2 linked regions of the Cricetulus griseus genome follow. The protein of the gene in region 1 purifies or fractionates together with the protein of each later gene. This does not show direct contact. Links are inferred from orthologs where the notes say so. Each region holds a gene or a part of one and is shown on either strand. Other genes may lie near its edges. The genes, in order: Nkapd1 and Csnk2a2.

Region 1 (16,251 bases):
TGAAAGAGAAACATGGATCCAAGAATACCTTTTAAGGTTATAGTCCTTCTTCCTCTTTACAATTCAGTGCCAAACAAATAAAACACAAAGACTGCTTTTAGACAAGGGGAAAACAACACAGGCTCTAAGCATTTCTTTTGTTTCCACCAGTAGTTTCAGGGTACCGAACTTAAGAGTGTGGCTTCAGCGTGCGGATGTGATCCCTTATAATGAAGAGGAAGTTTCTCTCTCTCTCTCTCTCTCTCTCTCTCTCTCTCTCTCTCTCTCTCTCTCTCTCTCTCTGTCTCTGTCTCTCTCTCTCTCGGTCTCTCTTAGGTGGTGGTCTAAGACCTGATCACAGCACATTCTGCATCGCCGCATCCTGAACCTCCAGGGGCAAAGACCATGGAAGCTCCTTATCTTCATTGTATGAGTGTTCCCCAAATAAATATTTGTTATTCTTTTATTCGGGCATTCATGGACTTCCTTACTCTGCCCTCACTTTTTTTTGTTTGTTTGTATGTATGTTTTTTTGAGACAGGGTTTCACTGTGGAGCTCTGGCTGTCCCCAAACTCACAGAGATCCACCTGCCTCTGCCTCCCAAGTGCAAGGATTAAAGGCATGCACCACCACCATCTAGGGGCTCTAAGCATTTCTAAGAAGCTATAAACTCCTCAGAGAACCTGACAAAAGGAAGGAGTTCCTACCCAGAAAAATGCACATGGGCATAAACATTAAGACCTAAGCATACAACTTTAGGAAACTTTCTTCAGTCCCATGTACTCCAGAACCAGTCTACTAAATCTAACAAAGGAATCCAGAAATGAAAACTGGTAGAAAACAAAAAGGGTTTAAAAGGCAAAAAAGCCCAACAGCTCTAATCTCTCTAATTCTTAAGTGGCCGATTTAAGAATTGGGAAGGACTGAAATGTAAAACTTAAAAACCAAGACACTTTACAAATACTGATCTTAAAGGCCAGGCATGACAGCCCCAAGGAGGCTGAGGCTGGAGGACTGTGCCAGTCTGGAATACAGACTGAGTTCACCTACATTCTGAGACCTAGCTCAAAAAAACAAAAAACAAAAACAAAAACAAAAAACCAACAACAAAAAGACAAATAAAAATGCATGATTTTTAAGAATGCAGCAAGTTTGAGGCTAGTCTGGACTACAAAGCAATTTTCAGACAAGCCAGGCCAAAATAATTATTTCTCTCTCTCCAGACTTTAAAAAATGGAAATATGGGTTAACTCATTATTTATGTTCAGATTGTCTAATGTGACTATCCACACAGTATTTATCTAATAAATTCCATATGGTTTTAATCAACATAAAAAAAATTTCCAGCTGTAAATCCATGATTTAGTACACAATTGGCTCCTCTCCATTGGCAAACAAACAAAACAAAACAAAACAACAACAAAACCCCCAGTAACTGAGCTACACTGAACAGACTTCCTACAGAGCTGCTTTCTTGACAGCAATGTAACAAATTTTGAAGTTAGGCCAGAAGATTCTCTGTGAATACAAATGGCATCATCACTCATGTTTGCACCATCTGCCCAGGAGTGTAAACTAGGTCTTCATTTAACCAGCAGACAGGACAGACTCCCCAAGAGACACCAAGACCCGCCAAATACATGATGATTAGTCCAGATAGATGATTTGTCCAGATAAAGATGGCTGAAGCACCAGTAACTGTACACAACTGTCTGGAACCCAAAACCCTCTTCTGGACTCTGTGCACCAGGCAAGCCAAGTACCCAGACAAGACAAGCAGACAAAACACCCATACACTTAAAATAATAAATAAAATTGTTAAACAATAAATAAAATTGTTCACAAGGCATCGGTAGAGAGAACATACAATGGTAGCTTGGTGACAGGTGAATGTGCTGTGTGCCATGCCATCCTGGGGTAGGCTGGTCCTGGAGAAACGCTGAGACATAAGCAGGTTTGACCACCCGGCTTCGGAGCAACAGAGCTGAGGAGGTAAAACAGGGATCATAAGCACTTCCTAGCAGGACCAACAGACTTTCTAAACTACCGTGAACATGCCACTCAAATCATAAACTTTTTTTTAAAGGATTTATTTTTACATGTCTGAGTGTTTTACCTATATGTATGTCCATGTACCATGTACATGCCTGGTGCCCACAGACATCCTTCCCCATAACTGGAGTTACACCTCTCCTAGACCTAGAGTTATAGTTATGAGCCCCCATGTGGGTGCTGGGAAGAGAACCCAAGTTCTCTGAAAGAGGAGTCATTGCTCTTAACCATTTCTCCAGTTCCAAACTTTTATTTACAAAAAAAAAAAAAAAAAAAAAAAAAAAAAAAAAAAAAAATCTGTGCTGGGGATGTAGTTCAGTTGCTTGCCTAGCATGCATGAGGCTGTTTCCAGCACCACATACAGCCCCAGCACATGACAATCAGAAGCAGAAATTCAAGGCTATCCTCATCTTCATATGGAGTTGGAGGTCAGCATGGGATTACATGAGACCCTGTCTCAAGAACAACAAAAATCTGCAGACTCTTATAATAATAACTCACTTTGCTTTCATTTATTAAAAACAAAAAACAAAAAACAAAATCTGGTAGCCTCTTGTTCATTTACTCATCTACTTATCTAGTATTAACTACAATCAATACTGTGCTTGGCAATGAAGCAAGAAAGATAAGGACAAACGTCTTTGCCCTCAAGATAGTCAACATAGTTTAGAAAGTTCACCTATTGCCCTCTTCCTTTTCAAAACCAAAGCTCATTTTGTATTCCCGAACTCCTTACTGTCTCCTTTTGGATCCTGCCTCTGATGTTCACTCAGCTACATCACAGATTAGCTATTGGTTAATGAGCAGCTAAGTTAAATAGCTCTCTAAGGTTTGGTTTCATTTGCAGAAGAAGAATGTTGAGTTTGCTTTCTGTTACTATGATAAATACCATGACCAAAATCAACTTGGAGGAAGAATGGGTTTATTTTAGCTTGTGCTTCCAGGTCACAGTCCATCATTGAGGGACATCAGAGCAAGAAAACACAAAGGAAGTGAAGCAGAAGTCACAGAGGAGTGCTGCTTACTACCTGGCTCACAATCAGCTTGCTTTCTTACTCAGCTAAGGCACAAGTGCCTAGGACAGTGCTGTCCACAGTGGGCTGGGCCCTCCCACATCAACCATCAATCAAGACAGTTTCTCACACACATGGCCAAAAGTCAATCTGAAGGAGACAATTCTTCAGTCAAATTCCCTCTTTTCAAATGACTCTAAGTTGTATCAAGTAGGCAAAAATTAGCCAGTAGTCAACAACTGCATTAACTTCATAACACTGCTAAAAACTAGGCAACATATGCAAAGGATAAATGAGTTCCCAGAATGCTAACTGCATATATACACACAAAAAATAATAATTTAATATTTTCTCTCTTTTTTTTCTTGGAGGTGGGGTTTGTTTTTTGAAACAGGGTCTCACTTTATAGTGTTGGCTGGCCTGGAACTCTCTATGCAGACCAGGCTGGCTTCTAACTCCGAGACTTTCCTCACTCTTTCTCCCTTGCCCATGACCTTGAACTTCCTGATCCTCCTTCCTCACCCCCAAGCACTAGAATCGTAGGCCTGTTCAAGCATTCTACCAACGGAGTTGCAGCCCAGCTCCTCCTGCTCTTTCTTCCTTCTCTTTCCTTGCTTCTGTGAAGTGTTATTCCAATCATTTTGTACTTCCCAACCATTCAACTGTGGAATTGTTTTTAATACTTCCTATATCTGTTCTAGAAATCCAATAATAGCCAATAGCCAGTCAGGGATTTCCCTTCTGTAAGTCCCCAAATCCTACTGACATATCTCTTTAACATTTCCTGAGACTGCCTTCTTTTCCTTGTACCTTCCAAGCTCAGGACTTCACCAGGCTAGTCTACCACAACAGTGACTTATCTCATCTCCCCGACTTGCATCCAAACCCGCTCTATCACCATCAAGCCATCCTTGATGGTGATACTGTTACTAAACAGTAAGTTTAGGCTGACAGTATATAGTTTGGCAAAAGGGCATGTGCTTAGCATTCATGAGATGCTGGATTCAAACGAAAAAGACTGCCAGGCAAGGTGGTACACACCAGCTACTTCGGAGGCTGGGCCAGAACCAGTTTCAGCCAGCCTAAGGAACAATAATAACAACTAAAATAAACCTACACTGCAAACCTATCAAGCCTTTCAATGTTACTGCCAACCTGGGCAACAAAGAAATTCTGTATCTTCCAAATACTATAAAGTAAATTCTGTGATTTAGCTCATTTCACCTTTCTAGGCTAATTTCACACTTTGGCTTTCAACATACTATTTTATTTGTTCATTTCTATCTCACACTTCACATCTCGTGCATGCTAAGCACATTTGTATCCTTTCACCACAGCTTTTGCTGCTCTCGGTTGCTGACTATAATGTACTTCTCTGCAGAGCCAAGCCAGGTTAGTCCTTCCAAAACAATTACCCCAAACTTTCTCTGGACTCACATTAACAATGTCTACACAGCACAGCAGTTTTTGCGTTACATTATCTGTACCACCTCCCCCAAGTTCTTTGAGAGCAGAAATTGTTTTATTCGTGTTTGCATACCAGCCTCTTGTATAACCAAAATGCCTGGTTAAAATGATTATGGAAGCCCTGAGTGTCGGTGCGTGGCTGTTAATCACTCGGGAACAGTCGGGAAGCTCCCGGAAAACCCAGAGCCTGATCTACATGGCTAGATAAGAGGAAAGCCAGCACTGCACAGCAAGCCGCTGTCTCAAAAGATTTCCAAACGGATTACTTCCACCCACACTCACATTAGCCCGGCAGCACACCGCAGCCCGGAGGCTGGAAGTGCCAGCTGGGGAGAGCAGGCCCTAGGTAACCACTTGGGCCTTCGGGCTACAGCGGTCCAGGCTGCGTCCTTGTAGGCGACTCCGGGGCCAAAGAGGAAGAAGTTCCTTCCTCTCATGACGTCCCACCACCTGGTGGTCGAGCCCTCACTCCTTTTCTTCCCCTGCTCTAGGTCGCAGGAGGAACCTCTGACGGTCAAGACACCTCACCTCGGCCTCCTTGGCCACTGCAGAGGACTCCCAGCTTTAAGAGAACCGCCATGTCGCTTACGAGGGCTCAAGGTCGCTCAACAACCCGGAAGTAGTTGTGTAGCAAGCCCCGCCCCGCTTGAAAGAAGGGCAGGGCAACCTGGTGGGTGAACCGGAAGGGGGGAGGCGGTGTGTTGCTACCGTGCGTGCGCACACCAGCGGAGTCACTCACGCCGACCATGGCCGAGCTTGGTGAAGCAGACGAAGCGGAGTTACAGCGCCTGGTGGCCGCGGAGCAGCAGAAGGCGCAGTTCACTGCGCAGGTACGATGATGAGGGACAAGGGAAGGAGGGTGAGGCGCAGGCCCTGAGCACCAACGGAGGCCTGGACTCTCAGCACAGCAGGCTCACTCGATGCTGGATCCCGGCTGCTCCTCCCGCCCTGGTGGACCTACAGTGTTCACTGTCCGGGAGTCTAGTGCTGCGTGGGACGAAAGAGGTGCAAAGCAGGGGGAAGGTTTGGGCGACAGAGGAACATGGTGGTCATATTAGCCGGCCACTGGTACGGAATGGTATTAGAATATCTGGGTTCCGACCTTGAGATTCAAGGGCCTGTGTGGAAGACACCGGTCCCCACCTTGAGTTCGGAGTTCGTTGTTGCCCGCTGCCTCTCTGCTTTGAATCATGTGATGTTTTTGGAAGTGATGATCATTATTAGATAAAGGTGAGCGCTGCAATAATCAGTGTAGACTCGGTAAGGTAGGGTTTGGCGTTTTCAGGCGTACTTCAAATCAGTATGCTAACCGTTGCTGACCTTGGAAATACTGATAGCTGTCCTGAATTTCAAGAGCTGATTACTTAGTACTTAGCTTCCCAAGTAATATCACTATGTGTCTATAGGTACAATTCCAAACCATGCTCAATTTGGAGAAATTAGATCCTGACTTCTTCCCATTTTGTAATAGTGCTAGTTGCTTTGAGAATTGTGGGCAGGCAGTGATGGCCCACTCCTTTAATCCACTCAGGCAGATCTTTTGAGTTTGAGGCCAGCCAGGTTTACAGAGCGAGTTCCAGGTCAGCCAAGGCTACACAGAGAAACCCTGTCTTGAAAAACGATAGTACGGTATATAAGGATGAGGAAATTACTGGTGACTAGACACCAAAGTGATCCCATGCACAATATATTAAAAGTGATTGTTATCGAGACACAGAATAAAAAATATCTATAGACTTCAGTGATTAAGGTTTTTCTCTCCTCATAGGTGCATCACTTCATGGAACTATGTTGGGATAAGTGTGTGGAGAAGCCAGGAAATCGGCTAGACTCCCGCACTGAAAACTGCCTCTCTAGCTGTGTGGACCGCTTCATTGACACCACTCTTGCTATCACCGGTCGGTTTGCCCAGATCGTACAGAAAGGAGGGCAGTAGGCCATACCTCAGGAATGACAGAAGATCCAAAAGACTTGTTACTAGGCAGATTGAATGGCCAGTGGAGAGTTGTCAACATGTTGAGTTAGCATCAGGCAGCTACCAAGTCTGTTGGTGCTAAAAAGTAACAGATCAAATGTCCAAAAGTGAAATTTATTTATTGGAATTCAGTAATTCCAGGTTGTATCACACCGGTTAATAAATGTGACGTCTCTAATTCTTTTTGTTCTAAGTCCCAGTTTAGGAACCAACATAAAGATCTCTGAATGACAGAACATTGAAAAGACATGTTCCTTGGCTGGTAATGAAAATGGGAGATCACAGGTTTTGAAAAGTCACCCTAAGCCATCTTTAAGAGGATTAGAGGAACTATCAAAGCCTTAGCCTAAGGCATGGAAGGGAATTTAGGGGTAAGAAAGGTTTACAACAGAAAACAATTTTATTGCTTATATGACTGAGAAAAGATGAACATGGTTGGGGGGGGAGGGCAAAAAAAAAAATCAAGCAAAATGTGCATTTCTTGGAGAAGAGAAAAAGCCTGTTAGTATGGGAGGAAGGTAAGGTCAAGACCCAAACAGAACCAACTTCTTGGAAGTGCCTTATTCTGCAGGACCATGTTCCTGAGTCTGTGCTTAGAATCAGTACTTTTGTAGCACAAAACTGCTTTAAAAATACATGCCCAAAACTACTTCCAACAAAGATTTCACTTGCTTCAAGAAGGTTATGAGGTAGTAACTAGACTCTCCTCTCATTAAACCTCTACTAAACCCAAAGAAAAAACATACCATGGAACATTGACATTTGAGTACCAAAGTTAAGTAGTGTTTCAATATCCCAAAAGGTAGCACCTGCTCATAATCAAGGGCTAGGGCACATCTGGCCAACTATGTATTTTAAAAACAAGTACTTTATTAGAAGTATGTTCCATAAAGAGCACGAATTTAGTTAAAACTATAAAATGCCACTTCATGGGATGTCAGCATAGTAATATTCTATTGCTGGTGTCTGTCATGCTAACCATGAAGTATTTTTGTATTACACATGCAAAAAGTAAGGCCAGGGAGGTTAAATTAACCTGCTCTAGAACTCAATCAATTAGTGGCAGAACCATGACCCACACACAATCTTAGGTCTGAGTTTTTGTGCTTTCTACTCAGTACCAAAAGTGACGACCTCAAAAACAAAAACCCTGACAATGTCACTTTACCTTTCCTCTGAATGAAAAGTCAACTAACTGTTCTACCAGCCACTTTGCAGTGGTATTTTGGTTTCTTTTAATATCAGGATCACAGTATAGCAGGGAGAAATAATATGTTCTTGATAATCATAACACAAAGTAAGACTGGGAAGAAGGGGGTTATATCCCTGAGAAGCGTGTTTCATTTTGGAATTGATTCAACTGGTTTCAGGGAAAATCTAAAATTCGTTAATAGAATTAGAAATGAACAGGGAAAACAACAGGGCTGGGGTATGGCTCAGTGGTAGAGCACTTGCCTAGTATATGCAAGGCCTTATATTCAATCCCCAACTTGGAAAAAAAACAAAACAAAACAAAAAAAAAACAAAACACTTAGATGGCTGTTGCCCTGAATCTCTTTGAAAGCATCATTGGCAACCTGACTACTTCCTAATTCTTTCCATTTGATAGATAGGACAACTGAACATTTAAATAATTTCAAACACTTAGCCCATTTTAGGCACTATATAAAGCAATGAAACTAGAAGACCAATTACTATCCAGTTACTGTTATGTTTGGGTTATACTAAATGTAGCTGTAGACCCTGACCGGCAGGGAAATTAGGCAGAAAACCCCACATTCCTTAGCAGTCATCTGTGGATCTTACTACGAAGGGAAAAGTTTTGTTTTTATACCCATTTATCCACTAAGTAAATTAGATACCTGTAGGGTCCAACTATAGAAGAATCAAAGCACCAAAGCGGAAGCCAGGAAACCTCCTGTATAAATAGCAATTGTTTCCTTGTCAAACTATTCTATCTAGCACTATTTCAATCCTCCTTCATCCCAGACCCTTGATTCCCCCAAATCCAACATTCCAATTGGTGTACCCAGATCATTACTGATTTCAGCTTTCTGGGTTCTTTAATTTGCTATATAGGTATTCTACCCTAAGTGATTAATTGCAAAAAATAATCTCTTCAAGAAACCTTAACAAAATACCAGATTCCCTACTAACAACAAAAGGGGGTGGAGATTAACAGTCCAAAATAGGAAAAAAGGTATCTGTGGCAGGACAACTCTGACCTCCGACCTCAGACTCCTGTGCTGAGTCACTGGCAAACCCCCATTATTAAGAGCTGCAGACAACCAGCGTCCATGGGAAGCAGGACTGCTACTTTCCCACTTAGTCATCCTCTGAGCTTTCAGCAGACCTTGCATCCGTAGCCACTTTCCAGTTCCTGCGCTTGCTCGTCCTCTCCTGTACTTCAGGGTTAGCCACAGGAACATGAATACTTTTCTCTTTCTTTTTCCGTTTGGTTTTCTTAGTGTCTCTTTCCTCGATTTCCTCAGAACTGCTAGCTGCTGAATCATCTGACTGGGAAGTAGCCCTTTCTCTCCCCAAAGATAAAGATTTTTTAGACTTTTTCCTGGATTTTTTCTTGCTCTTGTGTGGTTGTTTCCTTTTCCTGGTACTAGAAGTTCCAGTTTCTTCTGAGAACTCACTTGAGGAATCTGCTGTTATGTCCACAGCTTCCTTTTTGTTTTTTTTCTGTTTTTTGTGGGACCGTTTTTTCTGCTTCTTTTTATGGGATTTCTTTGACTTCTTATGTTTTCGGGATTCCTGGGCAGATGCTTTCACCTGGGAAGATGTTTTTTCCCCATTGGTAATATCTTGCTGGTCACTACTAAGGAAAAGTAAAGACAGAACTTTTATGGAAGAAAGAAAATGTATATTTATATTTACTATTCTGCATTAAATTATTAACATCTGAACTTTAAATCAGAATTTTAAGCTCGGTATGGTGGTACACAGTTATAATCCCAGTACTCAAAAAGTAGATCTTCCAAGTTTGAGGACAGCCTGCTCTACATAGCAAGTTCTAGGCCCCCAGGACTACAAAAAGAGACTGTCTCAAAAAAACAAAAAAAAACCAAAAACAAAAAAAACAAATAGTACTGGTGAGGTTTCTATTTTATTACTCTCAAAAATGTTTCATTTCCTCATCTTTAAAATCCTAATTTGACCTAACCATACTGGTATAAACCTGTAATTCCAATGTTTAGAAGGTAGGGGCAGTAGGGCCAGGAGTTCAAGGCCACCTTAAGCTATAGAAAATCCTGTCGTCCCCTCCCACCCCCCTCCAAAAAAAAAATACACCTCCTGATCTGCTATGCTGAGTTACATATGAAATACTAAATACCATTGTGCTCCCTTATCCATAGTTTCATTATCTGATTCCTGTCACCTATGGTAAATTCCAGAAACAATTTGTAAGATTTTAATTGCATGTCATACAAATTCCTCACAGTACTACTGTCCCACCTAGGACCTGAGTCATTCCTGTGTCTAGTTACCAACCCTTTGGTCATTTACTAGCCATCTGGGTTATTAGATCCACTGTCTGGTATAGCTTATCTTATTTAACAATGACCCTAAAACACAAGCATGATGCTAACTAACAATTAGGATGTGGCAGAGAAAAGCATGAAGATATGTCCTTAAAGTGAAAAAAAAAAAAAAAAGATTTTAAAAGGTATTGTGTGTATAAGAAAGGAATAGAATATGGGAGCTAGACAGACAAGACGATATAAAATATCCAAGGTTTCAAGTACCTTTAAACATGTTCACTACAGATGATAGTGAACAATTAGTTTCTAAAGCTCTCAGGCTTGCAGAATACCAAACTTCAATCAGGAAAGGTAAATAAGAATTGCTTCCCAACAAGATTTCATTATGTCCCAGGCTGGCTTCAAACTCCCGGACTCAAGCAATCCTCCTGCCTCAGGCTCCTGAGCAGCTGGGACTACAGCCATATACTACCATTCCAGGTTCTAGTTATATTTTCAATGACAAATAAATCTTTTGTAAATATTAGGAACTCTACTTATGGCGTAATTTTGCATTCATCTTAGGTGTTTGGTTTTGTTTCTCTAGTAAGTGTATTTACCTACCTGTCTGTTTCAAACTCTTCAGGATACAACTCTTTATATCCACTGTGACCCCATCTGTAAAATGACATCATAATACATATATTTTTATGAAGCAATGCATATCATTTTTGGAAATTAAAACACAATTAGATTTTGGACTGCATGAATACACACATACAGAGAACAAAGGAAAAGGGGGCAAACTAAAAACACACCTCAGTAACTGCTCTATGTTCTATACTATCATCTCAGACACAGGATGTTGTTCATTGAAAGGTTGTATCTGTTCTTTAAGAGACACTAAAGAACTCTCCTCAGCGGTGAAGTCCTTTTCCCAAACTACTTTATAATGTTATCTACACTGGGACTTTCTAAAGATAGTTACTGAGAAGTGATTCATATGACAAGAGAGTTGTCCTTTTAAAGTGCAGAGCCTATGGCCCAAGGCAACCATTAATCTTTCTGTCTCTATGGATTATCCATTCTGGACATACCACATAACAAAATCTTAAGAGTATGGCTTTTGTAAAGTTTTCAAGGTTATGCATATAGACTTAGTACAGATCCCTTTTACCACTAAGTTCTATTCCACTATATGGAAAGCCTACATTCTGTTTATGCATTCATCAGTCACAGCCATTTGGATTTTCACTTCTTAGTCATTATAAATACTGCTGCTATGCACACTCACAAATGTTTATGGGGTCAATCTGTTTTGAAGAATTATTTATACTTATGTGTAAGACTGTCTTGTCTGCCTGTATATATGTGCATCACATGCATGTATGATGCCCAAAGAGCTCAGAAGAGGGTGTCAAATCCCCTGAAATTGGAGTTACGGACACTTATAAGTTGCCTTGTAGGTACTGGGAACAAAACATGGGTCCCCTGCAAGAGCATCAAGTGTTCTTAACCACTAAGCCATTACTCCAACCCTAGGACAATAATATCAAGAAATACATATTCTTGGGCCAAATATCACTAGGGGTAATAAGAAATAGTCACAAACCTGTCTGGCATGTTGGATTCATAATCATATAACTTCTTGTTCCAGGATTTAGCCTTAAGAAAATCATCATCTAGGGCCCCAGAAATTTCATTCTTTGTCCTCCAGTAGTCTCTGTGACTTTCTTCATCAAAACCATCACTTCTCATCCGACTATAAATGAAAAAAAGACAAACGTTTAGAATTAAAAGCAATCTGTGATGCCACTTTATAGAGCATTATAAACAAAACTCATGGAACATGCTGACACTACCTTTGCACCACATAACATTGATATCAGTCATACTCAGCCAGTAATACATCAAAGTCTACATACTCCATGGACACATTCCCTTGAAATTCCTTTTTCTTCTAATGATTTCTCTAGGTAGCTTTAAAAATCAGGTTATGACCCATCTCACATACCTCCTTCCTGTGCTTAAGGGCACATGAGGCTCTAGAGATATTCCTAATTATTCATGCATCCTACACCTCCCATCGAGCAGTCAAGCCTGAATATATATGGAACTTATTTTGTAAACCAGGTTGGCCTTGAACTCAGAGATCCACCTGCTTCTGCCTCCTAAGTACTGGGATTAATTTGGGTGTGATTACCTAGTCACACCCAAATTATTACAAAGGAACTATGAAAGCCCATTGACTTGGACGAAGAGAGTGAGTAAATGTGGCTTTTAGTAAGAAGAGTTGGCTCAGTGGTTAAGAATACTTGTTGGTCTTGCAGAGGATGCTAATTCAAATCCCAGAACCATGTCAGGAGCTCACAACTGCCTATTAACTCCAACTTCAGGGCATCTAATGATCTCTTCTGACCCCTGCAGACACCAACAGACACAGACACACATAATGAATAAAATAAATACTTTTTTAAAAAAAGGTCTAATGCCGGTTGTGGTGGCACACACTGGTAGTATTTGCTGAAGGAGGCAGAGGCAGGAAGATCTCTGTGAGTTCAAGGCCAGCCTGGTCTCCAGAGGGAGTGCCAAGATAGGCTCCAAAGCTACACAGAGAAAACCTGTCTCGAAAAACCAAAAAAGTCTAATAGAAAGACTAAAGAAAACAGTATGACTGACCGAATTAATAAGACTCCAGGGATGGCTAAAGGGCTAAGTTGCTAAAGGTGCTTGCCTGGAAACACTGATGACCTGAGTTCTATTCCCAGAGCCCACAGTAGTAAAAACAAATTCCTGAAAGTTGTGCTCTGACTTTTAGTGTTCACTTTGGCACACCCATATTATATATACTCACACATCATACACAAAGTTGCCAACACAATAAATAAAATTGGTTTTGTTTTTGTTTTTGAGACAAGGTCTCTCTTTGTAGTCTTGGCTGGCCTGGATGTACACCAGGCTGCCCTCAAACTCACAGAGATCTATCTGCCTCTGCCTCCTGAGTGCTAGAATTAAAGGCATAAGGTACCATGCCTACCAAATAATATAATTTTTATAAGATGAAAAAAGAAATAGACACTCCAGTAGAAAATCTTTAAAGCTATTAGACAAGGTTGGAATCCATAAAACCTAAACATTTATAGTAATCCAAGGAGAATTTTTTAATTCCCCACTGAAAATTAGTGCAGAAAGCCAGGTGGTGTCGACCCATGTGTTTAATCCTAGCACTCAGGAGGCAGAGGCAGGCAGATATCTAAGTTCAAGGCCAGCCTGGTCTATAGAGTGAGTTGTAGGACAGCCAAGGCTACACAGAGAAACCCTATCTTGAAAAGTCAAAAAGAGAGCAGCTGGGCAGTGGTGCTCACACCTTTATACCAGCACTTGGAAATCAGACAGGCAGATCTCTGAGTTCAAAGCTAGCCTGGTCTACAGAAAGAGTTCCAGGACAGCCAGGGCTATATACACAAAGAAACCCCATCAGAAAGCGAGCAGACACAGGGGAGAGAGGGAGGGGGAGGTGGAGAGAGAGGGAAGGAGGGAGGGAGGAAGGAAGGAAGGAAGCTAGGAAGGAAGGAAGCTAGGGAGGAAGGAAGCTAGGGAGGAAGGAAGCTAGGGAGGAAGGAAGCCAGGAAGGAAGGAAGCCAGGAAGGAAGGAAGCTAGGAAGGAAGGAAGCTAGGAAGTAAAAACAAACTAGTACAGTCTAGTCATGTTATCACAGCCATTATTGTTAGACTTGGACCTAAATTTAGGAAACAAGGAAGGCTTAATGATTTGCTGAACTGAATTCATCTATCCTTAACATACTAGAATGTTTTAAAGCTAAAGTTAGTAATTCTGAAAAAAATGAGTTATTTTTGGTTCTCAGAGGCACACTTCACCTTGAGCTGCTGGGTACCGTGTTCCTTCTGGTCCCCTGGTAAGCATCCTCCATTTGCTTCTCTAGTTCTCTGATTTTCCACATGTCAGATTCCTCCTGAATCTAGACGTTTTCAAAAGGGAAAGAAACAAAAATAAGTCACTAAAAATAGCACTTTGCATCACAGAAAAGGAACTAGCTGAAAGTACAATCTGCCTTAACTATGGGGTACAGACTGGGCTATGATCTGGAAATAAATTCTGGTTTCTCTAAGGAGTTTAAAAAAATGACTAGACAGTCCAGGGCAGTAAATATAAAATTACACAACAGGTTTTGAACCCCTGCATAGATATACTAATCACATCATCAATTTTAAATCCTGCTGAAATCAGAGAGTAATAGCCCTACATGTTTCTGAGGTGTAACATGACCACAACATCTTAGCTCAACAGTAAGTGATTTTATAGGAAAGATAAAGCAGGAACCATGAGAACATTCCACAAAGCAGCAGCAGAAGCTTGGTGACCATACCAACATCTCTTTTTTTTTTTTTTTTTTTTTTGTGTGTGTGTGTGTGTGTGTGTGTGTGTGTGTGTGTGTGTGTGTGTGTGTGTGTATAAAGAATTAGGTTATCTTTCTGTTTTTGTTTGTTTGTTTTTTTCAAGACAGGGATTCTCTATGTAGTCCTGGCTGTCCTGGAACTTAATCTATAGACCAGGCTGGACTTGAGCTCAGAGATCCACCTGCCTCTGCATCCTCAGTGCTGGTGTGCTAAACACACATTTTTTTAGTTTTGTTTTTCTCAGTACCATACATATACACTTTACCACTAGCCTAGTACCCCTTCCCAAGCCCTGCCTCTTTGTTTCTGTTTTATTTTTTATTCTTGTTGTTTTTTTGGGGGGAGGGGGGATTTTTGAGACAGGGTTTCTCTGTAGATTTGGAGGTTGTCCTGGAACTCTCTGTAGATCAGGCTGGTCTTGAACTCACAGAGATCCACCTGCCTCTGACTCCCGAGTGCTGGGATTAAAGGTGTGCACCACCAGAGCCTGGCGGATAGAGTCTTTTTATATTAAGAAAACAGAATGGGTGGACAGATAGGTAGATAGATATACATTTTTATTTACCTTGTGTAAGAGTCAGAGAGAGAGAGAAAGAGAGAAAGAAAGAGAGAGAGAAGGGGCATACACGTGGGGGTCAGAGATAACTTTTGTAAATCAGTTCCTGACTTCCACTTACTGAGTCAGGGTCTCTCTTGTTTTCTGTCGCTGCACTATCTACTCCAGACTAGCTGGCCCTCAGCTTCTGGCCAATTCTTCCATCTCTACCTGCATTAGGAATACTGGGCTTACATACTTACATCACTGCATCTGGCTTTCCACATGGGTTCTAGAGATCTAACTCTGGTGATCAGGCTTGCATAGCAAATACCTGTGCCATCTTCCCACCCCATTTTGCTTTTTAACATTTATATTATTTTACTTTATGTGAATGAATGTTTTGTCTGTGCACTATGAGGCATGAAGAAAGTGTTGGATTCCCTGGAACTAGAGTTACAGATGGCTAAGAATCAAACCCCAGATTCTCTGGAAAAGTAGCCATCTCTCCAGCCCTATATGTTTGTTTTCTGCTCCTTGCCACATAGAACAGGCAAGCCATGTACTTAACCTCCTGTCTCTCTCTGTCTCCTAAGTTCTGGGATTATAGGCATGCACCATCATACCTGGTTCACATTAAAATTCTTATGAGGCTGGGCAGGGCTGGTGTTTGTCTTTAATGCCAGCACCCAGGAGGCAGAAGCAGGCAGATTTCTGTGAGTTCAAGGCCATCCTGGCCTACAGAGTGAGTTCCAGGACGGCCAGGGCTGTTATACAAAGAAACCTTGTTTGTATAAACTACAATTTTTTTTTTTCTTGTCAGAAGCAAAATAACATAGTTACCAGAACACTGACTGGAAAGCAGATGACAAGTGCCAAAAACATAAGTCTTCCTGCATAACTGGGTTACATCTATACAAAAATTATCTTGTTTTTAAGCTGTTACTCTTCCTATAAAACTAGACATAGAATTAACACAACTATATAGGTAGCATGGGTAACTATTATATCTGCATCCACAGTGAAAAAACTCAGGTGACAGCTAGGCAAAGGTCTGTAATCATAGTTACTGGAGACGTAAAAAGTTCAAGGCCTGCCTGGACTATGGAGTGGGATCATGACGAGCTAGACAACAAACTTAAGTGATCCTGTCTCCTAGGTTCAATCCCCAGTACTATATGATAGTGACAATGTTAGTAATGATAAAGCCAGGAGTACAGTTTGCTGAAGAAATCTGAACATGGGGTCTTGTCCTTCTTTTCATTAGAGGTGCACTCTTAGGTGACTGTCTAAACTCCCAAACTTTTATTCCAGCTCCAATTTTTCTCCTTACTTCCAAG
Region 2 (16,689 bases), on another chromosome or scaffold:
TTCAAAGGTTTTTTTTTTTTTTTTAAATCCCCAATACATGCAGTTCAGGGTTAAGTGTCACATTTGTAGCACATTGTTGAGTATTGACACAAAAATATGCATCTGCTGCATAATCCAACCTTGCCAGCGTCTACAACAAAGACACCCACCCAGCACAAAAGCAAGTGCTCCTGGCCACCTCCCTCCCCCATCATCTGCATGCTGGGACTTACCACAGGACAGTCAGTTTTAATTTATTAAAATCCCTGACAAACTCAGGTTCTTGTGTGCTCACAAGATCTGCTTGCTTTTGCTTTCAGAAGGGCTAGCATTCTGCAACCACCTCTCCCCAGCTCTTACCCATTAACTCACATTAAGAGCTCCAGAGACTGCCCTTCCCTGTACATATCTTGGATTCTAAACTGGCATTAAAGGAAACAGATAACTGATTCCTACATTTATCTCAATGCACATAGAAACTCTTCCCATTGTTCCTGTCCTCAAGCTCTGCCGACACAGCAGCATGCTCCCAGAGAACCTAGGTTGTTTCCCTGAGTAGGCACAGACCCTGAGGACCTTGGCAACTATCTCTCAAGGGCCAGTGGACCCAAGCCAAGGGCAGTGTCTTCAAGCACATTTGTGACAGGAGCTTAGTGTCCCCTAGTTTCATTTTCTTATTGGAACCTTTTCTTTCACCTGCCCCTCTCCAGCCACCTTCTCTAAGTCTCCAGGACTCCCAGTTCCTTTCTCTCTGCAGTCAGCCTGAGAATACTTTCCCTTCCCCAAAAGGAGCCATGTGCCCTAAGCCAGGTGGGCACGAGCATGTTAAGGGAAGGCCCACAAGGAAGTCTAGCTGGGTACTCTACTCCATAGCAAGCCTCAGTAACACATGCTCAAATTACAAAGGCAATGGCTTCTATTGCAGCCACCCACAACAGGGGCAGGAGCAGGGTCAGCTGACTGGAGAACAAACTGTCACCAACACACTTCTTAGTTAGCATTCTCAGCATGGCTCAGCCCAGGCAACTGTGAGGTCATGCTCCTTGTGGATACCAAGGAGACACTGATCTGGAGTCAGCCCTGGGGCCTCAGCTCAGCACACCAGGTGCCCGTTCTTGAACACAGGCAGTACCTGAGATGACAGTGCAACACTACCCTGTTCCCCACTATAGGTTTGTGGGTTGTGTTTTATTTTTTTGCTTTTCATTAGGAAATAATTAAGTCCTTGTCATAGGCACTTTTAACTTGTAATAAGGTAATGAAGCAAACAAATGGAAATTACTGAGATGAGTATAAGAAGTATGTATATTCATTGTAAAGGATACCGAGTGGGTCAATTTACCAGGTTAGTCTGTATATAAGACTAGACTCCTCTCTCTCTCTCTCCCTCTCTCTCTCTCTCTCAACTCCTCCCTCTCTCTCTCTCTCTCTCTCTCTCACACACACACACACACACACACACACACACACACACACACACACACACACACACACACACGTGCGCGCACACCCTTTAAAACTCTCCAAACCCAGATAAAATATCCAGGGGCTGTACCCAAGATAGATTTGGAGACAGGTAAAATGTCTACTAGATTCACTGTAACTTGGTAAAGACCAGCCCAGGCAGAGTCCACATCCAGAGGGAGCAAGCATGAAGTCCAAAGAATGCTCCAGAGCTAAGGCAGAAGAGAGGTAAAATACAGGCACTGCTTATTACAAAGGACATGCCCTGCTGAGTTTTCACTCAAGGACCTCTCTCCTAGAGCATGCCAAAGGGGAGAGTCAGGGGAACATGGCCAACTTTTCTCCCAGAAGTTTTTACTATCTCTGGAGGACCCAGGGCAGAGAGGTGGGGTCACTGCTCAATTGAGACCCCCCACCTCAACAGGCTCTTGAACAACTTAAAAGACAGAGAAGAAACATGGGTGATCAAGGAGATGAGGTTAGAAAACAGGAAAGACATATGGTGATGACACATCCCATGACAACCAAGGGCACATGAGAAGGCCCATGGTAACTCCCAACACTTGAGGTTTGCTACTTGACATGCTAACACAGGGTCAGTAGCATCCATGTCATGTTTCCGATTCTCAGGAAGAACAAAAGTAAACATCAATCTACAGAAGGTGAGATGAAAGGAGGCAGGGTCTGCATGAAAACCTTAACTAGATGTCAAAGTTCTGGCTTTATAAAGGGTCTTAAAGAAGATTTTTAAAACTTTATTTATTGTGTGTGTGTTTACATGCCACAGTGCACGTGTGGAAAGAGGACAACTCATGGGAGTAGGCTCTCTCCTCACCATGTAGATTTTGGGAACTGAATTCTTTGCAGCAAATGCCTTTACCTGCCATGTCACTGGCCCAAGATCTTACTTTTTAACTTATGAACTGAACTCCATACTATCAAGAAGAGTTACATTTGTCTTTTACGTTCACACAGACCAAACGACAAAATAGAATCTGCATTTAGAGATGGACCTGCTACCAATACCAATACAAGTTTATTGGAATTTGGAATGTAAACAGATGTTTCAAACAAACAATCTAACCTTATAAAAATGTATGGCATTATTAAATAGTTAATGAAGAAACCCTAAGTGTGATGTGGTAGATACCCCAAGCATGTTAGGTCCCCAAAGCTGATGCATGGCTCTGCAGCCAAGGAGAAGGGACTAGCTGGCAAACCATGTCAGTGACCAGTCCCCCAAATGAAATCAGCTCTATAAAAAACAAAAACAAAAAACCCCAAACAAAATCTAGCTCTCTGCTAACATGAAGGTTAGCACATAGCTGTGACACTTGCTCCAGGAGCCCCCTTCCTCTCCCAGGCCCTGGCCATCTCTCTCCAGCCAGCTGCAGGAGTCACAGGACAGCCTTGCCCACAAGCTATCGTCTGCATGTCAGATACTTCTTTGCCATTACACTCATGTATGACCTATTAGAGCTGTAAATGCCCATCACCCTGATTGTAGCCAGACCTGTTTGTCACGGGGTGAAAAAGAGGGAAGATGGTAGGTGTGCCTTTTGCATATGTGAGATCTTTCCTGAATACATTCTAATAGAACACTTCCCTCCCTCTTTGACCTGCCGGAAGACTAACGTTCCAGCTGCAGCTATGGCTGTGAACAAAAATAAGTCTTTGTTTTAGGGTGGTACATTGAAGTAGGTGCCCACACAAAGATGTGCTGAGAAATGGTGAAGTTTTCCTTATGGGGGGTGGCGCTAAAAAAAAAAAAAAAAAGAGAGAAAAAAGAAAAAGGAAAAAAGAAAAGAAAAAGCAACAAGATTCAATAGTTAGGCAAATCAATAAAGGTGAGCCCCAAGTTATGCACACAGCATGAAACTTCTAATGAACCTGGGACCTGTTCATGGCATCTCAAGATTTACAGTGCCATCTTCCGACACTAAAGAGGATGTGGTGAGAGTGACTGCAGTTTGCTTCCAAATGAATATACTTAGAAGAAAACTGCAAGAATGAGGTACATTTCCTGGAGAGCTCATGTCATAAAAAAATACATAACACATGAATTTGTAAAAGAGCTTAAAAAAAATACTGTCACTGTTTTAATCTTTTTTTTCTTTTCTTTTTTCTTTTCTTTTTCTTTTTTTTTTTTTTTTTTTTGTAAATGAGGCTGGTGTGTCAGAATAGACTGCTGACTTGCTAAAACTTGAGCCTGAATTCTCACAGAAGAAAACCAGACACCACAATGGAATAGATAGGAAGTCAGATATTCAGAGCTTGTTGACCGAACGGGTTAATTCAACAGTGGTATCCTGTTAAACGCAGGTACGTGTACAACAACTCCGAGCTTCTCATCTCCCATGCATTCCAAAGGGAGAGTCCCCTCAGATCCTGAACTATGTGCACTGCCACACTGTACAGCGCAGCTCCCTGCAGACTAGTACTGGGGAGTTTCTTGCTTTTGACAGGCTTTAGGTCTTTACTCTTCTTTGCCTTTAGAAGGAATGATTAGAATTTCTTTTTATCACACTGCAGTTTCCTTCAAGTTTTTGTTTGGTTGGTTGGTTTTATTGGCAAGCATCAGTGCCGCATTACCGTCGATTCCCCAGGCTTCATCGTGCTGCGCTGAGGCCACTGGAAAGCACGGTGTTCTCTGCACAAGGCTGGGACTGCTCCTTCACCACAGGGTCTGCAAGAGAGGAGGAGCACAGGTCTCCATGTCAGCACCAGCACTGAGGGTGTAGTGGGAATGCCATGGCTAACCTGCCTTTCCTCTTCTATATGCACCAAGACAGACACTTACATGGAACTCAGGCCACACAAGAACCAGGCACCAAGACATGACCAGGAAAGAACTCCTTTTCTTTTTGCCCTCAAGGCAGGGAATAGAACCCAGTCTCACACATGCTAGGCAATCAACTAAGTCACATCCTCAACTCCTTCTGAAAATTTTTTTTGTTGCTCAGACTAGCACTGAACTCTCATTCTTCTTTAGCCTTAGCCTCCAGCATAGGCCAGGGTGGCCCTCATGCCCACTGAGGAATTATATAGAGTTGATTTTTTTCTACTTCCTTAGAATACAGACCCTACTGCTAAAAAGCAGAGACCCCAACTCACCACTGTTCAAAATTCACAATATTTCTGGTGATTTCTGAGTACCAACATCATACCTAGCATGTCATAAACAAGGGTGAATAAAAAAGCCATTGACAACTGGGAGGTGGTGGCGCAGGCCTTTAGTTCCAGCACTTGGGAGGCAGAGGCAGGCGGATCTACAAGAACTAGTTTCAGGACAGCCTCCGAAGCCATAGAGAAACCCTGTCTGGGACACGCCCCCCCCCCAAGAAAAAAGAAAACAAACAAACAAAACCCCAGCCATTTTAAGCAGCAGTGAAATATGGAGTTTATTTAGGGAAGTAAACAAACAATGATTATCTAAAATATCTATCAGGTTGTTTTTATTATTATTCCTGAGGCAGGGCCTAACTATATACCTTAGATGGTCTTAAATTTGCAATCCTTACACATTTGCCTCATGAGTTTACACCAGTACTGCTTTTTATTTTGGTTTTGTTTGTTTGCTAGCTTGCTTGCTTGTTTTTTGAGACAGGGTTTCTCTGTGTAGCCTAGGCTATCATGGAACTCACTCTGTAGTTCAGGCTGGACAATTTGAACTCAGGGATCCACTTGCCTCTGCCTTCCCAATCCTGGAATTAAAGGTATGCATCACCACCGCCTGGCTATTTTGTTTGTTTGTTTGTTGTTGTTGTTGTTTTTAAGATACAGTCTTACTATGTATCCCAAGCTGGCCTTAGACTCACAAAGATCTGACTAACTTTGCCTCTGAGTACTTGGTTTAAAGGAGTGGACCACCACTCAGGGCAACACCAATATCCTAAAGTGGCCTATCTTGAAGGATAAAAGCAGCTTTCTGTGTTGGAAATTAGAAAGCAAACAATGGAATGTCAGCTGTTTAGGGTCCAGAAGGCTAAATGAGAAGACCCTTTACATTTTTTTGTTGCCTTAAACTTCTGCCTAAAGTTTAAGATCATGGCAATAAGTCCTTCCTATCTGTTAATATTACTGGGAATTAGTAAACTCCAAAGGAAAAAGTGGTCAAACAACAGACAAAAACTTTAAGGAACAGAAATGAAGATAAGTCACATTCAACTTCTTCCATGACTAGACTAAGCCACCCTCTTCTGTCAATGACAAGGGTGATGTGTCTAGGAGACTTTCAGTGGGAAGAACACTACATGGACCCAAAACACAAGCAAGTGCAGAAGGAACACATATGCTCCGAGAGATGTCACAGGTCAGAATCCAGCTGCCATACCTGCTACCTGCTTACCTGCAATTCCTCTTGCTTACATGTTGCTTCCTTTAGAATCACATTAAAAAAGCAATGATCTTACTACTTTGTTTTGTTTTTCAAGACAGGGTTTCTCTGTGTAGCCCTGGCTGTCCCGGAACTCACTCTGTAGACCAGTCTGGCCTCAAAATCACAGAGATCTGCCTGCCTCTGCCTCCTGAGTGCTGGGATTAAAGGTGTGTGCTGCCACCACCACCCGACCTGATCTTACTACTTTTAACTAAATATTATTATTATTATTATTATTATTATTATTATTATTAATTGGTTCAAATTAGAAACAAGCTTGTTTCATATGTCAATCCCTTCTCCCTTTCCCTCACCCCCATCCCTCCTCCTCCACCCCCCCTAAATTTTTTTTAAAAGAGAAAAAATAATCTTTGATTAGGTTTTTGCACTTGAAAAAAAAATCTTAGATACCTTTCAGTATACAAGCCCAGGGTGATGACAGTGGGTTATACAGCCTGGCCTCAGAGGTACTACTAACATTGAACAGCAAACACCTTCGAGAACTAATCAAATCACCCATAAAATGGCCTCAGTGGTCCAGTAAAATGAATAAAATTTAAAGCCAAATTCCTAGGCTGATCTAAATCCAAATACCTAGTTTTCTGTCTGACCCCAAAGATAAAGGTGACATCTTTTGCCATTTAATAACTCACAGAAGTACGGGTGCTCCATGGCCTCTTTGGCAGTCAGTCTCTGTTGATGGTCGTACCGCAGGAGCTTGTCAAGAAGATCTAGGGCCTCAGGACTGACAAGGTGTCTGTTTTCACTATGGATAAAGTTTTCCCAGCGCTTCCGTGAATGTCTAAAAAACAAAAACAAACAAAGTGAATATTAGTATTCTGAGACTAAACAACCAGATAAACCCTCCTTTAATAGACATAACATAAACAAACCCTTAGAATACTGCACTTCGTGCAACAGCTGAAGCTCATTCTTATCGGTGCCCACTTCAAATGGGCTAGTATACACACACTGTCACCCACAGTTATAACCATGACATAAAACTGCTCAATTATTAGATGAGCAGAATCTATTGAAAATATCTATATCTGAGGGAGAATTGTTCAATCTTTCTGGATTACTCTTATGCCTGTCTTTTAATCAACCGTGAGTAAGGCCTGGCGGTGACTAAGTGATGCACTGGTCAGTAGATATATTTAGAAGGTTGGCTTTAGAAACAAGCAATTTCATAAAATAATGCCTGAAGACCACTAGCCAAACATTTACTTTTAACACACTGCACTGAGGCTGGACATGGTGGCACACACCTATAATTGAGCACTCAGGTTGAGGCCAGGAGGCTACACAGCAAACAAATAAGACCATCCCCACCCCAAAATACCTAAGTCACGAAACTAGGTACTGTACCTGAAAATTTAGCATGCCTTAATATTTATTATAAAACTTCAGAAAATAAGCTATTCACTTATTTGAAGAAGCCTCGTTTTCTAAGATTTGCCATCAAAATAAGCATATGCAGGGCTAGGGAGATGGCTCAGTAGTTAAGAGCACTGGCTGCTTTCCCAGTGAACCCAGGTTCAGTTCCCAGCACCCACATGGTAGCTATTAACTATCTGTAACTCTACTTCCAGAGGACCCCTTTTCTGGCTAAGCATACACACACAGTACATTATGTGCACACAGGTAAAACAGGCTTACATATAAAACAAGAAGAAATAATTTCTTTTGAAAAAGCACAAGCTTTGACCAAATAAACATTTTTTCTATAACATTATGACTTTATTTTCCATTTGCTTCCACAGGATCAAACTCTTGATTCTCCTGCTGCAGCCTCCCAAGTGTTGTGATTAGAAACATGCATATCTACACAAGGCTTATTTTCCATTTTCTACTGATAAATAGGAGTCGTACCATTTGGGAGGCCAAGGCAGGTAGATCCCGGTGAGTTCAAAACTAGCCCTGATCTACATAGCCACTGAGACCCTGGTTCATTCAATAAATAAGTAAATAAATATCAATATTGAAGTTAGAAAAGGGAAACTGGATGTTGTCTAACTTTACCACTTCTGAAGTAGAGCAAAGTGCTTCCTTCTTTCCTTTCTCCTTCTCTCCCTCCCTCCCTCTCCTTTCTTACTTACTGTCCCAAGATATCATTGAAGTGTGGATCTAGGTCTATGTGGTACTTCTTCAGATATCCATACAGCTCATCTGTCCCCAGAACCTTGGCAATTCGAACAAGCTGAAACACAGAACAAAACTGACCCAACCACCAAGCACAGTGCTTTCTGTGAGCTTTTGTGGACACTGTGCTAGGCCTGGGAATCAGGAAATCCCATGCCACTCAAATCCCAAATGACTTAACAGAGACCCGAGTCTAGGATAAACAGAGACTTAAGAACACAACACTCACATGAATGCAAGTTTCTAAACTGCTTTAAAAAAAAAAAAAAAAATTATTATGTATATAGTGTTCAGCCTGCATATATCCCTGCAGGCCAGAAGAGGGCACCAGATCTCATAACCGATGGTTGTGAGCCACCATGTGGTTGCTGGAAATTGAACTCAGGACCTCTGGAAGATCAGTCAGTGCTCTTAACCTCTGAGCCATCTCTCCAGCCCCCTAAACTGCTTTTAAAGGGTTGATATAACTTAGATGCTAACATCTTTGGGGACACTGATCAAATAACTATAATGTGATTTTGTTAGATAAAGAAGTGCCTTACTTCTTAGACCCATCTTGAAAGTTCACTAGGCAGCATTGTCTGTCTCGGCATGCTTGGGGCCCTCATGCTCACTCATACAATTCTGAACAATCCTTTAGCTTACACAGTCCCCAGAGGCTATTTCCCTAACATTCATGACAAACAAGCAAGGGATGAATCTGCTCACCTGGTCATAGTTGTCCTGCCCATGGAAGAATGGCTCCTTTCGGAATATCATGCTCGCTAACATGCAGCCCAAGCTCCACATGTCTAAGCTGTAATCATACATCTGAATGCAGGAAGGATGATCCATCAGTCAAGGATAGTTAGACACTCATTGATTAAGTTTCTCATATCCATCTGACCTCTAGCTCTGACTTTTGACATCTGACCTCTAGCTCTGACTTTTGAGAGAGCCTTATACACATTAGGCAAACATCTACTACTAAGTTCCATCCTCAGCCTCTCTGCAATTACTCTGTAACTAAGTCACCGCACCCCGCCACCCCAAAAAGCCACCAAAAGACTCAGCTGGTAAAGGCTGTCAAGCCTACTAAACTAAGTTTAGTAACAAGAACCAATATGGTGGAGAGAACAAACACCTGCAAGTTGTCTTCCGACCTTCCCACATGGGCTGTGGCACATATACATACATGCATAAAAATAATTAATTTTTTAATGTTGCTGAGTAAAACCTTTAGAGTAGAATAACTGGGTTTTGAATGCATCCAAAGTGACCACACAGCAACCAGGAAAATTCCTAAGGAAATATAAAAATAGCTCTGCGCAGCTTCACTAATAAGTTCACCTGATAGTCCACAAGGAGCTCTGGTCCCTTGAAGTACCTCGAGGCCACTCGAACATTGTACTCCTGGGCAGGATGATAGAACTCCGCCAGACCCCAATCAATCAGTCGGAGCTATGAGAAAGACAAAGACCCAACAGAATGGGTAAGGTGCACTTTGAGATGCCATTGCCTATGACGAGGCCACACTGCATCTCTACAACAGGTATTCGGCCACACACAGTGTACCCAGGAAAAAGTTTACTTCAGAAACTGCAGATGAGGTCATTTATGGAGCACAGTACTTGGAATATATCTGAGTTTTTTCCCTTTTAAGTTATACTGTTTTTTTTTTTTTTTTTTTAATTTTTTTCTGGTCTCCATGCTACTTACATGTGGAACACATGCCCCCACCATTCATAGCTCTTAACATAAGCTCCAGGCACTAATGAAGGGCTTACGTGTGTGACCACGTAAGTCACACCCTTAGAGTGCTGCTCTAGTTGGTCACTAAGCTAACCCTGTCTATGACAACCAGAGTTGGAAACACCCAAGTGTATTTTTTTTAGGGCTAGTCTGACTGGTCTAATGCTCACGAAGAATCAAAGCAGAGACCACTGATGTAGTTTCTTCCTGAGGCCCTTTGAACACTAAAACCAAAATAAAACTAGTGACCAAAGTCAAGGTCTCTGTGTACTTCCTGGAGACTAGAGAAGTCAAAGTAATGCAGTCTACTTAAGAAATCAGTGTGGTCTACATACACCACAATGCTATTGGACAATGTTTAGGTTTTTCCTAAACCTTCAGCAAAGATTTGGTGCTGCCTGGCTGGATTGGTACCTTTTTTTGTTGGTGATCTATCATGACATTGTGAGGTTTCACATCCCTGTGCATGATTCCCTTGCTGTGGCAGTAATCCAGAGCCTAGTAGGTAAGAAAGCACAGAGAAAAGTAAGCAAACCCTCTACCACCCACAACGCAAACACATTTTTATTATTTGTGACACTTTAACTTGAACAGTCTCAAAAAAGGACAGCTTACTGCCTTTAAGGAGAGAAACAAAAAGATGCTCTCCGTGGACACTACAGCTGGCAGCCAGTGGAAAGGGGGCTGTCAATGATCATGCTGAAGGTTGCTTTAAAAAGAAGGGATGAGAGGCCAGAGTGTGGGACCTCAGAATCCATGTGGGCATGAAGAATGACACCTTAACGTATCTTAAAACAAGGCACACTTATGCTATGTGGGCTATGAGTTTTCCAGATAAGAAGCATTTACATTTTCCGTAAACATAAAACCTGAGCCAGCATTTAAGAATTATCATTACTATTCTAAAAGAGAAAACTACTTCCTGTAATAGAATCAAAAGGCTTTGTGGTGTTAAAAGCCAATGATCTTTAGTAAACTGACAGCTGTATAACCAAGTCACCATGTTTCAGAGCTTTTCAGCACCTTCACAGTTTCCTGGAGTTTGAGATAATGCCCACGCCAAGCTTCTTGAAGCCACTGGTGGATCGGGTATCTGTTCTAGAGATTTCTTCCTACCAGACATTCCTAATGCTACAGTACTTTGTTCACCTTTCTCACTGAGCTTATTTAATTTTGAGACTGAATCATTTATGAACTTACTAGTTTACTGACTTGGGTTGTTTCTACTTCTGGCTGTTGAGAACAATGCTGCAATGAATAACCATGTGTAAGATTTTTTTGGGAGTATGCAAACTGTGTGTAAGTTTTTTTAGGGGCAGAAGTGCCTTGTTGTATGTTAGCTTTACAATTTCTAAGGAACTGCCTGTTTTCTCAAGTCCAACACACAATGGTTCCAGTCTTTCCACATTCTCAACAACACTTGGCACTGTTCTTTTGTTTTTTCAAGACTGGGTTTCTCTATGTAACTCACTCTATAGACCAGGCTGGCTCTGACTTACAGAGATCTGCCTGCCTCTTCCTCCTAAGTGCTGGGATTAAAGGTATCCATCACCTTGAGACGGGGTTTCTCTGTCTAACTTTGGAGCCTGTCCTGGAACTTGCTCTGTAAACCAGGCTGACGTCGAACTCACCTGCCTCTGCCTCTCACGTGCTGGGATTAAAGTCAAGCACCACCACTTCCTGTCACTGTTCCTTTTTTAATTACAGCTATTTAGGTACGTTAACGTGGTATCTCATGTGTTTCTGATTTGTATTTCCTTATTAGTGATGAAGCAAATTATCATTACATGTTTATTGATCATTCTATATTTATATTGCCTTTGAAGAAATGTCTCAATTAATAAGCCCTTTTCCTTTTGATTGTTACACAGATCAGTCAGGCTGCCCTCTCTCTGCACACAGATGACCTCAAAGTTGATATCCTGCCTCAGACTCCTGAGTGTTGGGATTGAAGGCATGCTCACTATATCCAGATTTTTTTTTTTTTTTTAAATCTAATACACTCCCTGACACCATCCAAACACTCACAGCTCTTAAGTCTTCTTTTCCATACATATCATGGGCCATCTTTGTGAACCCCAAAGTTAGACCTTTGGCTTAAAGAGCACTGGAAAGCTTCAAGAGGCCAGAAAATTCCTCATGTAGGGCTATCCTGCATTAAAGAATGTTCAACAGAACTTCTACTTAGTCTAGGTGTCAGCTGTGCCACTCAAGCTGTTAACAGCCAAAAATAATTCTAGATACCCAGTACCACTTGGTTGGGGAGCAGTGGCAGACCAAGGGCACTGTACCTGGCATCTTTATGCTGGAGGTGTATTTAAACAGGATGATCAGCACACCAAAAATATGCTCCCTGCAGACTTAGGTGACTTTCTAGGTGAGGGCTTACCCTCTCTGAGGAGGGGATGGGAGGTGGGGTGGGGGAAGCAGGAGGAGAAGAGGGAGGGAGAACTGGGATTGGAACATTTAAAGTTCCCTAATCTGTAGCAACAGTAACAGACAGTGTTTGGTGCTTTTAATTTGAATTTGGAAAGTGGGCAATACAAAACCTGGGGACAGAGGTGACTTAAGAGCACTTTCTGGACATCCATAATTTCTCCACCAGCCTTGTCCATCATTTTTTGTAGCAAACAGTGGCAATCTATAGCTGTGGTGTATAGTAGAGTAGCCACCAGCTATGCAAGATCACTGAGCACTTGGCATGTGACTAGTATCGCATGGACAGAATAGAATTCTTAAGTTTTGTTTAAATGCCTACCATGGATCTAAGGACACTTGGCTGAAGGCTTACACATATAAAGTCTAATATCACGGAAACTCAAGATTTATTTTACAACAGCTGTAGCCAAGACTCCAATGTGCTGTTGTGCTTTCTTTCAACTGGTATTGTTTAAGCAGCATTTCATAACTCCCACCCAAATCCCATCTCGACAGTTTTCTTATGAAACTAGGGTCCATGAGGGCATATTCCCCTGAATCTGATCACATAAAGCCTGGGGGGTGGGGGTGGTCACTGAACAGTCACACAGCCTTCACCTTATTTTCCTCTACACTGGCTGTGAAGTTAAATATTTCCTGGTTCCTGCTTCTATCCTTTTCTAAAAGGGAAAATGTTGATTTCTGCTATTTTACCTAGTCTTTGTCAAAGATCTAATCCAGATAATACTTCCAGGATGTGAAAAACACACAGAAGGCTGGGGGCAAAAAGGTAGCAGTGATTAATTCTTGGCCGCATTCACTGGCCAGACACCCTGTTGGGGCTCCTAACAGGCCTTTAAATTCTGAGGAGACTTCAGTCTTAAAAATCTGCTACAGTTTCTGAGCATTCATTAGCAGGGAGAGCTAGAGTGCTGCTATCACCAGACAAAAGCACGGCCCCCAGCACCAAGGACAGATGTGCTAGGTTCTGTTGTTATCTAGCTGGTGCTGGCCAAAATCTACAAAACCTGAATATTGACTTGTGAGCACTTGTGAGCAACGGACAGTGGCTCTCAAGGGTGCATGTGTGGGGCTTTCTGGGAGGACCTTTAGGAAATACAGTTTGCTGTTTGTAATACTGCAAACCTCTTCCTATTGGATTTCTAGTCTGGAGAAGACACAGATAAGGTGGACCAGGTCAAGCTCTTATCAACAAAAACCAAGCTCAATAGACATGGCGTGAATTCCAAGCCCACCACTTTGGCTCCAGCAACAGGCATATCATTCAAGTACAATTCTAAGGAAAAGCATTCATTTTACTGGGCCAGTTCTTCAAACTTCCACTCCTGAAGTCCAGCCTTATTTCAACCTGGTATTTTGTTCAAGCAATGTTTCAGTTCCCACACAAACCCAACCTTGGAAATTTTCTTAATTGAGATCAACAACCCCTAACCCGTACCCCCAAGTTTTTGCAATATCGTTATTTATTTATTATTAATTATTATTTTTGTAGACAGAGGTTTCACTTTGTAGCTCTGGCTGGCCTGGAACCCACTATGTAGACTAGACTTGTCTTGTACTCAAGAGACCCACCTACCTCCACCTCTATCTCCCCAGTGGTAGGATTAAAGTCACATACCACCATGCCTGGACAAGCCTGTATTTATAATGCACTTCTAGGGAAAGGGAAGTTCATAGTTCTCACTAAGTTCTTAGTGATTCATTACCCTAAAAGATACATGTAGCATTTTCAGAATGCTTTACAAGTGCATCACCTACACAAATGAAAACATTCCTCTGTCAATTAATAATGCTTCTTCTTTTTTTTTTTTTCTTTACAGTACTTGGTATTTTTAAGTCATTTAGAAGGTCCACACATCACTTCTCCCAGATTAAGGGCTAGTCAGCGCTTGGTGTGAGGGATAGATAAAACGGATGTTAAGACAGTTTGGGGAAAATGACTGTCAATTCTGTACCCTCTTCATGACTTTTCCATCAAGAAACAATGACCATTTTATACCTTTTTAAGTCAAGGCTGGCCATAGGATTGACTCTGGTCAAACCAGCAAGGCCAGGTTGAAGTGCTTAACTTTGAGGTCTCCATTCTTATGCTACTTGAAAGACCAGGACCTCAACTTTCCAGCAATGCCAGCCTACATCACAAATACATGAATGAGGCCAACCCAGACCATTTTGTCTCGGTCAGGCAGACTTGAATCTAAAAAAATGTTACCAGGCTAACTCATGAGATTATTAGCAATAAAAAGCCATTTTATTTAAGTTTAATGTGACTTTCTACACAGAAGACTAGGATTCATTAACTGTCAAAGAAAAAATTCAACTGCCAACAAGAGCCACAGGGAGTTCTGAGCTTGGCTAGTCTTCTAAGTTTTTGTTTTTTTAATTCTATAAGGTCTCACAACAGAATTCTCATCAGAAGTCTCACTAGATTCTCTGGGTACCAGGAAATACTCTGCTTGAATCTGCTTGAATTCTTTTAAAAAATTTCTTAAAGGAATAAGCCTTGGGGTGGGGTGGGGGTGGGGAGAAGCACCACCTACAAATGCTACTTACTTTAAGTAGTTCATACATATAAAACCGGATATCAAAGTCAGTCAGGATCTGGTAGAGTTGCTGAAACAGATTTCAGAGAACAGAAAGTCAATTTAGTCTGTATTTGCTATTCTAAACTCTGGCCTTCCTCTGCAAACTTAGTTACAACAGACACCCACAACTTCACTGCCTGACCTGGAATGGCAAAGATGAATAGTCAGCATCCCACCTTCAGTAGAGAGGGGAAAAGTTAACACTTCAGCCAACTTGATCTTTGCTACTTACTTTTCCACAATTCTAATAACCATAGCCACACTGCTGTGAAGTCTAGTTGTCTCCATCAAGCTAAGTCCACCCAGCACATAGCACCTGGAGAATTTCCTCAGCTGATGTGGACTGGTATTAGGGGAATGAAATGGTTTGTAAAGGAACAGGAAAGTGAGGGACATTTGGAGATGCCCTCTGTTCCCTACCAAACAATTCCTGGCTGAAAAAGATTTCACAGGCAATAACAGACATTTTTTTAAAATGGAATAAGGCATTAAAAAATAAAAAGGTGCCAGGCGGTGGTGGTGCACACCTTTAATCTCAGAACTTGGGAGGCAGAGGCAGGTAGATCTCTGTGAGTTTGAGGCCAGTCTTGTCTACAGAGTGAGTTCCAGGACAGGCTCCAAAACCACAGAGAAACCCTGTCTCAAAAAAATAAAAAACCCACAAATAAATTAAAAAAGGGGGGACGGGGCAGCAGTGTCAAAGAGACCAAAAGACAAGCTAATACACTCATGGAAACTTTCATTACTCATAATCCAGAGATCCACCTCATGGAGTTCTGAAATAAATTTCAATTTCTTGGAGCAGAGTATCAGAGTACCACAAGCAAAGTTAGACATTGTTGTTCATAGAAAATTTCAAGTAAATCTTTCCCTGTCAATCTAGGCAACCCTTTCTATAAACAAAGTTAATTGAAAAGACTTTAAACTTTCCCTCTATTAGAAAAGAGAATCACACATCACAGGGATGCGCCAAGGAGCAAAGATTGGCTACATTGGGTTTCTCTGTGTAGCTTTATAGATCAGGCTGGCCTACACTGTGATTCTATAAGAGGAAAATAAAATCACTTATCTGAATACATGACAAAGAAACTAATAAAAAGCACAGGTGTAGAGGAAGAGGCCACTCCTCCCTTCCCCCTTTAGGGAAGAGTAACTTGCCTTTCCAGTTTAGTGGGACTGTATAGCTCTATCAACCTCAGACAGCTGCTGGCTCAGGCCCATAAGCTGTGGAGCTGCTGAGTTGCTAGGGTCTCACCCCTGGGCTGGGGATAAGCCGTGGGGGGTGGGGTGGGGTAGCTGAGCTGTCCTCACACTTACTCACCATTTCTACCCTCGTAGCTTCAGCTTCCTAAGAACCAAACCCCAGGTTTCTGTTCCCAGCCCTGTGCTTCAAGACAAGTTTCTTATCGAGTACTTGGTCACAACTGGCAACCAGAATATTCAGGTCTAGGCTTTGATACCAACTTGGATACAAGAGAGATCAACTGCACAGGCTGTACTAAACTGAACCATCAGGTCAATAAATAGCCCAGAAAAGAGAAAAGATCAAATTCTCAAACCCTCAGAATGCTAGGATTTTTTTTTTTTTTTTAACTTCTAGAAAACCAATATGGGCTATTTTATTTGAACTTTTATCTGTAAAAGGTTTTCCTTTTGTATCATGTACTATATCAATCATCCTGTAAAGGGCCTACAGTATAAAAATAAATGTCCTTGGCCTGTCAACAAAGTACTTCTGACTATTCCAACCAGAACCAATTTTACTGAACATGAAGGACATTACCTACACAACAGCGCGTGGCTGGCCACCACTCAGCCTGACCTCCTTTTTCTTGGTGTTCATGGTGGGTAAGACTAAACTATATCTGGACCAAGTAACCTCATGGGCTTATGATTAAGGCCTCTCCAGGGGCTAATCTGGCTTCCTCTAATAGTTGTTGCTCCAATCTCCACTGCAGGCTTCAGGAATCA

What was found.
Region 2: the proteins of Nkapd1 (region 1) and Csnk2a2 purify together in Homo sapiens (affinity purification with mass spectrometry; 5 studies listed by BioGRID and IntAct, counting the BioPlex papers as one, with this or other methods). This does not show direct contact. The link is inferred for Cricetulus griseus from reciprocal best matches to the Homo sapiens genes NKAPD1 and CSNK2A2.

What each region holds. Positions count from the first base shown.
Region 1 is NC_048597.1:162,365,877-162,382,127, forward strand, and holds the end of Nkapd1 (uncharacterized protein NKAPD1), read right to left. Parts: intron 13,938-16,251; coding exon 13,837-13,937; intron 11,720-13,836; coding exon 11,570-11,719; intron 10,636-11,569; coding exon 10,582-10,635; intron 9,315-10,581; coding exon 8,813-9,314; 3' UTR 6,588-8,812; downstream 1-6,587. Other genes in the region: Sdhd (succinate dehydrogenase [ubiquinone] cytochrome b small subunit, mitochondrial), read right to left, coding at 1,848-1,964, 5,041-5,092; Timm8b (mitochondrial import inner membrane translocase subunit Tim8 B), read left to right, coding at 5,259-5,342, 6,281-6,448.
Region 2 is NC_048596.1:171,635,757-171,652,445, forward strand, and holds part of Csnk2a2 (casein kinase II subunit alpha'), read right to left. Parts: intron 14,747-16,689; coding exon 14,687-14,746; intron 10,193-14,686; coding exon 10,109-10,192; intron 9,404-10,108; coding exon 9,293-9,403; intron 8,774-9,292; coding exon 8,672-8,773; intron 8,022-8,671; coding exon 7,921-8,021; intron 6,624-7,920; coding exon 6,475-6,623; intron 4,130-6,474; coding exon 4,053-4,129; 3' UTR 4,036-4,052; exon of another isoform or gene 2,183-4,035; intron 1-2,182.